Saccharomyces cerevisiae S288C: one gene and its partner. Changing the gene in region 2 together with the main gene of any one other region gives a genetic interaction. Each region holds a gene or a part of one and is shown on either strand. Other genes may lie near its edges.

What was found. Genes that interact genetically often act in the same process or in processes that back each other up.
Region 1: mutations in ENV11 (region 2) and MSC1 together harm fitness more than expected from each alone (negative genetic interaction), as found in Saccharomyces cerevisiae (2 studies listed by BioGRID).

What each region holds. Positions count from the first base shown.
Region 1 is NC_001145.3:14,635-18,598, forward strand, and holds MSC1 (double-strand break repair enhancer MSC1), read right to left. Parts: upstream 2,043-3,964; coding exon 501-2,042; downstream 1-500. Other genes in the region: COX14 (Cox14p), read right to left, coding at 1-119; RSC9 (Rsc9p), read left to right, coding at 2,430-3,964.
Region 2 is NC_001139.9:630,733-636,149, reverse strand, and holds ENV11 (Env11p), read left to right. Parts: upstream 1-2,086; coding exon 2,087-4,669; downstream 4,670-5,417. Other genes in the region: U4/U6-U5 snRNP complex subunit PRP38, read left to right, coding at 1-3; mRNA splicing protein SMD1, read right to left, coding at 1-438; UPF3 (Upf3p), read right to left, coding at 683-1,846; Rho family guanine nucleotide exchange factor ROM1, read right to left, coding at 4,877-5,417. UniProt on the Saccharomyces cerevisiae protein: Involved in vacuolar processing and morphology.

The DNA.
Region 1 (3,964 bases), on a different chromosome or scaffold from region 2:
TTCATGTATAAAGTGTAAGCTAAGCCACCCGACATGTATAACGTACCACCAACCAACGTCAGTACCGTTAGACGATGTAATGTATCTGTAACTCTGGTATACCAAGCGTATTTGGACATGACTATCTGCGTTCTATTTTTTGTTCTCTTCCTCTCACCATTGCCAAACCGCTGTATAGATTTATGCTCCTTTCAATGCATTTATTCTGATCCTCTCCGATTTCGTATACCGGGTAACATTAATCGCAAGGAAGGAGAAGCAAAGCTCAGAAGTAAGGAAGAACTTCGAAATCTGCTTCCGAGAGTGAGGAAATAGTGTTTTCTAAAGAGTGTATTTCACAGTATGTAACATTATAAAGACAAAATACTTACTTAAGCAAAGTTATATAGAAGTGACAACGTGTTTTTTCGTTTTGCTATTAGCTTGTCCATTTTACGGTAAAATATACGGATGAAAAGAAAAATTGGGGAGAAAAGTACATTACGTTGACACCCCAATCATTAGTTGAACCCTAATATGCTTTTCGACCAGTTTTTAACGTTATGTAGGTACCTCTTGTAAGCAGGCTCCTTAACAGTGCCGAACAACCATTGCGTATTCTGCTTGGCCAAGTTGATTAAGTCGTCCTTCGTAGAAGTCTGTTTAACCGGAACACCGAATGATTTTAGGTACTGCAATAGGTCTTCTTGAGACCAGCTCTGAAAGGTATTTGACCAGGTCTTAGCGATTTGGTCCTTAGCATCATTTGTGTTTTTGGAAACCTTGTCAAAATCCTGCATAATTGTGGAGTAAGTCTGAGAATCTTGGAAGTCGTCCTTTTTGTCAGCAAACCAACCCTTTATGTCATCCAAAGACCAGTTACTGTTGTCAAAGTATTTTTGGTAGTCTTTTGGCAGGATCTTGAGTTTTTCGTTTCTGGATTTTTTGACTAATTCTCTCAATTGATGTTCAGTAGACAGCATTGAGTACTTAATACCACGAGCATCTAAAAACATTTTCAATTTGTCCTTTGGCCAAGAGTCTAGGCCAACCAAAAAAGTATCATTGATCACATTGTCAGTCTTACCTCTGAACTTGGAGTACAAATTTGTGAGGAAATTTTTAGAAGAGTCCCAAACGGAACCAACGTATTCTGGGGTCTTGGTCAAAAATGGAGAAGACTCTCTTTTCATATAGTCCAGGTACCAGTAGATATCATCTTTCAAATTGGCAGAATTTTCTTTGGCCATTCTAACCAAATAGTCGTGTTTCTTGGCCATGTTCTTGTCAATATTGACCTTGTGGCTCTCCAACCAATTGGTTAACTGATCACTAGACCACTTGTCAAATACAGTGTCTTTTATTTGTCCCGATGTGTCTAATATTTGTTGGTGAGCCAAATCCAAGCTTTCTAGCAAACCCAGACGCTGCTGTTCTGCCTTTTCTGAAGTTCGGTAGATGTTTTCCTTGACTTTCTGAACTAGCTCGTCCTTGCTTTGAACTGCCTTGTCGTAGTCGATACCATTGTCATTCAACCAGTTTTGCAAATCTTTGGTTGACCAGCTATCAAAGTAAGAGCTAGAAGGATAGTATCCCGACGACTTCAAAGATTTGGAAATCTTGTTGAAGTTCTCCTTAGCAGTCTTCACCAGCGAGTCCTTGGAAGCCTTAGCGTCGTCAACATCCACGCCGTTTTTCTTCAAGAAGTTACGTAGACTGTCTGTGGACCAGGTGTCAAAGAGCCAGTCAGAAACTGGGTGATCCGAAGAACCAGTATAACCAAACCATCCGGGGTTACTGTTGCTCACGCTACTGCTGTCACTAGACCACACCTGCCACCATGGTTTGGGCTGCGCGTGTTTGTCCCATACCTGCGATGCCTCCGTTTTCAAGTCCTCAATGGAGTCTGTAGCGTACTTTTCCAAGCTCTTCTTATTATCACGTAAATAATCGGCCAGGTCTTCCTGCGTCCACTTGTCGAACACTGAATCTGAATTGGCCAACACTAAGCCAATAAGCACAAATGATGCGGAAACCGCATTAACCAACTTGAATTGCTTCATCTTCTTCTCTTAATTAACAGTTCTTTTGTAGTTGTCTCCTCTTCTATTGCAGATCCTCTTCTAAACTCCGGTAATCTAATCATGCTAGGAATACGACTCCATGAGTGGCTTTAAATACCCTGTCGATCCCCTTTCACCGCCTCCTTGTTTCCTCCCTCTCCCTTATTTTCCTTCAGTTCCAAAGATCCCTTATTCTTCCCCTCTAAGGTGAGGCCGGCGTAATGCTGTTGCTTACCGACGTAATGGTGGAAAAGGTGAAAAAAGTGAAAATAGTGATATTCTTAGAGAAAAACGAAAACAACAAGTCGTGTCAAGAGGTAGTGTTTTGGGAAAGACGTCATAGAGAAAGGCAGAAAGCTTGTAAAGAAGTGGAAATAAAGATTGAAGATGAACTCGTTAGCTTCAAACACACCGCTAAATGGTACTCCAGTAAGCGAGGCACCCGCCACAAGCTCCGAGCCTGTGAACATGTTCGAGACAATGGTGGCTAACCCTATTAAAGTGTCTCGATTACAGTCTAATGGAGTTCTGACGGGACCTGCAGCCAATACTAAGTCCATCCACTATTCGCTGGCCAATTTTAATGTGTTCCAGTCGCTACCCAAGGAAACGGCCAGAGGTGTAGACGATTTGACGAGGATGGAGATGGCGTTACTGAGTGGGATACCGGAGGAGATTAAGTGGTCTTTAAAAAAATATCTTACGTATAGTAACAAGGCGCCATATATGATCAGCTTACGGACATTGCCGGACCTGTTGCCACTTTTCAAGACTTTCATATTGCCTTTGGAGCGCATCGTGGAAGGTCTTAACAAATCGTCTATATGTGATTCAAAGGCGATGGATTCTCTACAAATGGGTCTAAATGCCTTGCTGATCCTAAGGAATCTGGCTCAAGATACTGATTCGGTGCAGATACTAGTCAAGGATCGAGAAATCAAATCTTTCATTCTTTTCATTTTGAAGAAGTTTCAGTGCGTCGCTACAGGCGATAACAAGTGGCAATTGTACGAAGGAAATGCAACTTTTTTTAACGAGTTGACCCATTATACTCTGGACTTGATGGAGGCCATTTCGTCCTATATTGCTCCTGCAATGAAGGATGATCATTATTTCCAAACGCTGGTGTCCATCTTGAACTACACTAAGGACAGATACATGGTTATTTCTATATTGAGGTCTCTTTCAAGATTACTGGTTAGGTCCAAAGCTAACGAGGAAAGTGCAGCGGACAATTTGGACCATAAGACTCTTTCGTTGATCGTTTCCTTTTTACTGTTAGAATGCGATAGTGAGCTGATTATTGCTTCGTTGGATTTCCTCTATCAATACATTTTGCCCGGTTCTCAAAGAATCACTGAGTTATTCAAGAGTAAGGAGTGCTCTTTGATACTGGAAGCCACGCTGCCTAATTTATTATCATATAATATCGCCACACCAGATTACCATCTTTTGCAAAAGCACAAAATTAGGTTGATTAAAAGGTTGAAGCCTCCCGCTCCAAAGGAGCCTCCCAATTTATCTGAGGATCTGTTTCAACAACTTTTCAAACTTAACGAGCCCTTGAGGTCAACCGCTTGGTTGAGATGTTGCTTTGAGCCTGTACAAGAAGCAGAATTTACACAAATATCGCTTTGGAGATCCTACGAATCCAAATTTGGTCAGCCTGTTCGCGAATCCGGACGCAAATTGTTACCTGCCGTGGAATTCATCAAGAATGTCTCGAATGCTTTCAATAACGCCGCTGCTATCGTAATCACTGACCCGGTAACCGGCAAGAAAAGGTTTGTTATCAAGGGCATTCAACCAAGATTTAAAGCTTTGGGTATTGCAGACGGGGAAAGAGAATCCCAGGTACCCATTTCGGCACTAAAATCCAAATTTTTGAATGACTCTAAGGAAATTACACCTGCAAGACAAAA
Region 2 (5,417 bases):
TAGACCTCTTCTTGGCCTTTTATTCGCTGGTGCACCAAAATCGCGCCTTCTCTTTTTGCTGGGGTCATTTGCAATTTGACCCGATCTTCTTAGGGAATTAAGTTGCTTTTGGTCAACCAAAAGTGAATCCAGGTTCAAGGAATCAGGTAAGATTATCTGTCTTATGGTATTGCCTCTAATGTTTATGTATTGCAAACTTGCTATGTTGTCACTTGCAGTAGGTTGCTGTCCTCCAGTCAAGTACAGACTAGCCATCGCAATACCATTACTGTTCAATTTATTTAGTCGGGGTTGTGGTAGGGTCAACTTCACGTCAGTTAAGATAGCATTCATTTGTGGTGATACCGACTGCAGTGTACCCCAAACGGTGGTACCGTTTTTTAGTTCTATGGTAACCTGCTCATTGCGCAGCTTTTTTAAAAAGTTAACCAACTTCATAATCTTTTTCTCGACGATTTATAAACGATACTTGGAGTCATCTTTCTTCATGACAATTTCATTGTATATGAACATTTCATATATTTTATTATTTTAAATATTCATTGAAAAATCATTAAATACGAAACTCAGAATTTATAATGGGGAATACTTTATGTAATAATATAATCATAAAATATATAATTCTTATTATTTTATTATAAATGTATTCCATATATAATATATAAGAAGCCATGAGCTTTTACTACTTCTTGGTATCATCACGATGCAAAATTTTTACCCGTGGTACGAAAAGGTTTTCTTTAGGTTGGAACGACGGCTGGGTTTGAGCGGATGATGACTGAGGCTGAGAGGAGTTTGATATTTTTAACTTCTCTTGCAAAAGCATTTTCTTCTTCCTTTGTTTCAAAACCTCTTTACCCGCTTCCTCAATAATAACCACATTACTGTTCTTGGTCTTAGAAATGGTGCTTTTTTCACGATTTTCACGCTTCTTCTTGCCTCTGTTCCGTTTTTTCTTTGGTATCTTAGCGGATGCTTCCTCTTCTTTGAATTTCTTTTTGGCGTTTTTATTTTTCTTCTTTTTGTTCTTATTCTTGACCTTATCACCAGTTCCAACCAGCTCTGTTAACACCCTTTCTGTTCTTTCTGCTATTTTATTTTCTAACTCTATGCTTTTTGAGAATTCTTTTTCTAAAGATTTCAATACGCTAAAATCTTGGAATGAGTACTCGTCATTTTCATTCAGCTGTTTCATTGAATTCATAAATGTTTTAAAAATTTCGTCTTCTTCAATTGTTCCTACTAGCGCGGCATCCTTTTTTGATGTTTGAGTGAATTTCTTTACGTAGGGCGACAGTTTCATATCTGGAATTGTAATATTATCCTTATTATCAATGAATTTACAAGTTTTAATGAAATTTGCGCATTTTTCCAAGTCTGATAAGTTGTCGAACAAGAAATTGCACCGAGAATATGTCGAGTTTTTGAATACTTTACTAGAATAATGACCTTCAAAAAAACACCAGTCACTGTACTTGAGTTTACCCTGGATATCTTGCTTATCACCATCATCGTTATTATTATCTCGTAAGATGGCAAAAAATTCATCTGCAGTCAAATTTGGAGGTAGCAATCTAATAACAAGCTTAAATCCTTCATTCTCGGTTGATTTACCCAATCTAGCCTTTCTTTTATAGTTATAATACTCTCTGTTCCTTTTCTTGTTATTCCTTCTGCCTTTGCTATTGTTGTGGGTAGCATTAGTAGCATTATTAACCTTATTCTCATTCTTTTTAGGATCTACCGTCTCATTCTTACTTTTTCCTCTGTTCTTGTTATGATACCTATTTCCCCTGCCTTTCTTTTTCCCCTCACTATTCTTCAATTCCCCAGCCACATTGCTCATGATAGATTACTATATATTTCAGCAGAAATGTAAGTCCCTCAGTAGGTTTTCCTTTCCTCTTTGCTGATATATTCATGCAATAATCATCGACAATATTTTCTTTTGTATCTTACTTTTTAGGCGAAAAATTTTCAACTTTTGATCAGCAAACAATACACAAAATAAATAAAGGGATGATAAACCATAGAATAACAAAAGTCTTCCGAAATAGCATATGTACCAATCTACTCAATCATTAATATGAACACTGCATTGGATGATTTACATGGGGATTTGGTGACTTTAGAAGATAACGAAATCATCAATAATTCTGATCATTCATCTTCTCACTCTACTAGTCATGAGGAGGAAGACGAGGAAGAAGACGATACTGAGGATATAGAACTTATAGAAAAAGACGGCAATAAAATCCTATCAAGTAGAATTCATCCGGAAGACGAAATCATAAATGATGGGTTAAATATATGGATTCCGGTTCAAATGCTCAAGAAGAATATAGCAAAGTTCTGGTCCCATTTTCTAGCAATTGAAAAGAAATTAACGAAAGTTAAATGTAAACATTGTGGAGAGATACTAACAAGAAGCGATGCAAGTTTGACAAAAACCTTTAGATCTCACTTGAAAACAAAGCATAATATAAGTGCCAATAAAAACTTCTATTCCATGAATTTCACAGTAGGAGACTCCAATCTCAAAAACAATACTTCCAGCACAGAAATTACACGTAGACACGGCTATGATTCGTTAACCTTCAATTCCGACCAAAGTTTCAAATGCTTTGACATAGGAAAATTACAGAGCAGTAATTACCTTTCTATTTCCCAATTAGTAGCCATAGTCATAGCCTCAGAAAATTTACCGCTGAACTTCTTTGAGAATGTGTCCTTTAAATCTCTTTTATCAAAATTTCATAGGATCCCTCCTTTAACTACCAATATAATAGAGGAGTCAATTATAGGGTTGTCAAAATCAATTGATGAGTTGATCAGAAGGTCTATATCAAGGAATGATACACAATTACCCTTTACTATCCATTTATCCGATAGTAAGGAATCAAATCAACCTCTTTACTTGAAATATTCTAGGGAAATTCGGGCACAATTGTCTAACTTGGACTTATCCCATCTTATTTCTGTAAATTTTACAGAACTGGCTGGAAAAAGATCATTATTTTCTTTGCAACTGTTCGATAATACCAACAAAGTTTCGAAGGGTTTACCATTATCTATTTTTGTACGTAAAACAACGGATATAGATATTAGTGTCTGGCAGGAACAGCTCAACAATTTGTATTCGAAATACCCTGGCTTACAAAAATCGGTGATTTCTATAACTTTGCCTCAAAGCCATTATACAATGGTACTAGAGAATAGAAACAGTCATAATTTTACTTTCCATAGCGGGAGTGTGAGGGAGATAAAGTACCATACTTGCATAGTATCTGAATTACTTCATTGTTTTTTACAGCCGTTGTTTAATGTTCCTACTGAATCAATGCTGTCTTCCTTTTCTGTGGCCAAAGAAAATCATTCAGGAGGCTCTTTGTTAGACTCATTAATAGATTTTTCCCATATTGATTTATCATCTACTATTCTCGGCAAAATATGCTGTTTGATAGAAGAAGTTAACTTAAACGACTCCCTAAAATCGGATTTCCTATTATACTGCCAAAATTATACACAACCTAACTGCAATGAACTTACTTCAATCCTTTCCTGTAACTGCGATAGATTTTCAGCTTTGAAGAGTATCTTAGAAAAATTTGCAAACTTAGTTCCTTTCTTCAAGTCTATCAACTCTCATTTAGAAAATGAATCACTTAGTGAATCCGATTTTCGTCTAATAAACACGGTAGAAGAGACGTTAAGAACTTTCGAGCAATCAATTGAGTACTTTGCTTCTTCCGCTCCATTGAAATTTACCCATACCTTGGTTTTTATCATTAAGTTTGAGTTATATTTGACAGAGATTATACGAAGCTTCAAATTCACCAAATCTAAAAAGCCCTTTGAAAAAATCCTAGCAAGGCTTCTAAAAGTTAAAGACCTTTATTTACTTGATGATGTAAACTTGATTGGTGCTTTCCTGTATCCATCAATCTTCCAAAGTAAAAGCCTTCTAAATGAAATCTTTGGCACAACATCGGTAAATAAAATAGTTCATAACATGACCAAAATTGTTCTAAGGTATCTTAAAAACTTTATCAATATAACTAATTTTCGTTCCTCTAATAGTGGTGGGGAGAGCGGTCGGAATTCCGGTAATAATCTTCTTTCTGACTACGAGGCCATTTTTATGAAAGAATCACGGGACGTAGAGCTTTTATGTAACACCAAGTTAACCGCACCACTAACAGAAGATTCATTACTTGTCCAAATCATTCGGGATGATCTATTACGCTATGTCAACAGAATTGCGCATGAGCTGCCTAATGCATACCATGACTACTTAAATGATAATGATATTAGCTTCGATGGATCTCACTTTACAAAACATGAGTTATCTGAGGAAAACGACTCTAACTCGGGGGAATGGTGCCTAAATCCCATGGAAGAGACATTTGATATTCATATTCCTATCTCGGATTCAATTTGGAATAATTACATAAGCAGTAAAAACAAGATTGAAGTAATCGATATTTTACTTCAGTTGCTTTCAGTAAATTCGACATCTTCAATACGGTCAGAATTATCTTCTCTAACAGCTAATCAAGACTTCAGTACCAAGTTGAGTGAGGAAACAATTAAAATCAAACTTTTGAATTCACAGTTTAATCTCGAAAAAATTAATTTTCACTCTGGATCAATTTTCGATGCTTGCTAGTGACATAATATTCCAAAGGAAAGGACAATATACTTTCAAGACTTTATTTTCTAGGACAAAATTCTTGTCCATTGTATTATATTTTCTTAATGGCACCCATATATTTCAGGTAAACTACATATGGTTATACAAATAAAATAATATTACTTAAATTTAGATGTATAGGTTCAAGAAATAAGTTTTAAGGTATTAATATGGGCGGTCAACTCAAAAATTTAACAGTTCGATAATTTCAAATCCTTGAGGATCCTCATAACAATATAAGATCTTCTTGGCATATGATTTTAACATACGTATCTTGTTTCCAAGTACACAGCGGACAAGTTCTCCATTTTCTATATGTCTAATTTCAATAAAGTTACTATTAATTGCCACAATATAAGGGTAGGAACACGCGAACTGTTCTGGTTCCCCCTCCCAATGAAAACATCCCTTTGTCTCCTCCCTCTTCCCTTGCTTATTGAGAAAAAAGCAGAGTTCTGGAAAACATGCAAAAGTTGAATTTTTTATCGGAAACATGGAAACTACTTTGAACGTCTCTTTATACATGTTCGCTAAAACTTTGTTATCATGTAGATTTAAAAGCTCCCTCATTTTAAATCCATTTTTATCACACACTTCCGGTACGTTTAATATTTTGATATTTTTTTTACAACCAATGCAGATCTTATTCTCCAAAAAAGAAAAGGACAGAGGTTCAGAATCAACGCTAAAATCTACCAAGCCTGCCTTTAGGTTTTTTTTAAAA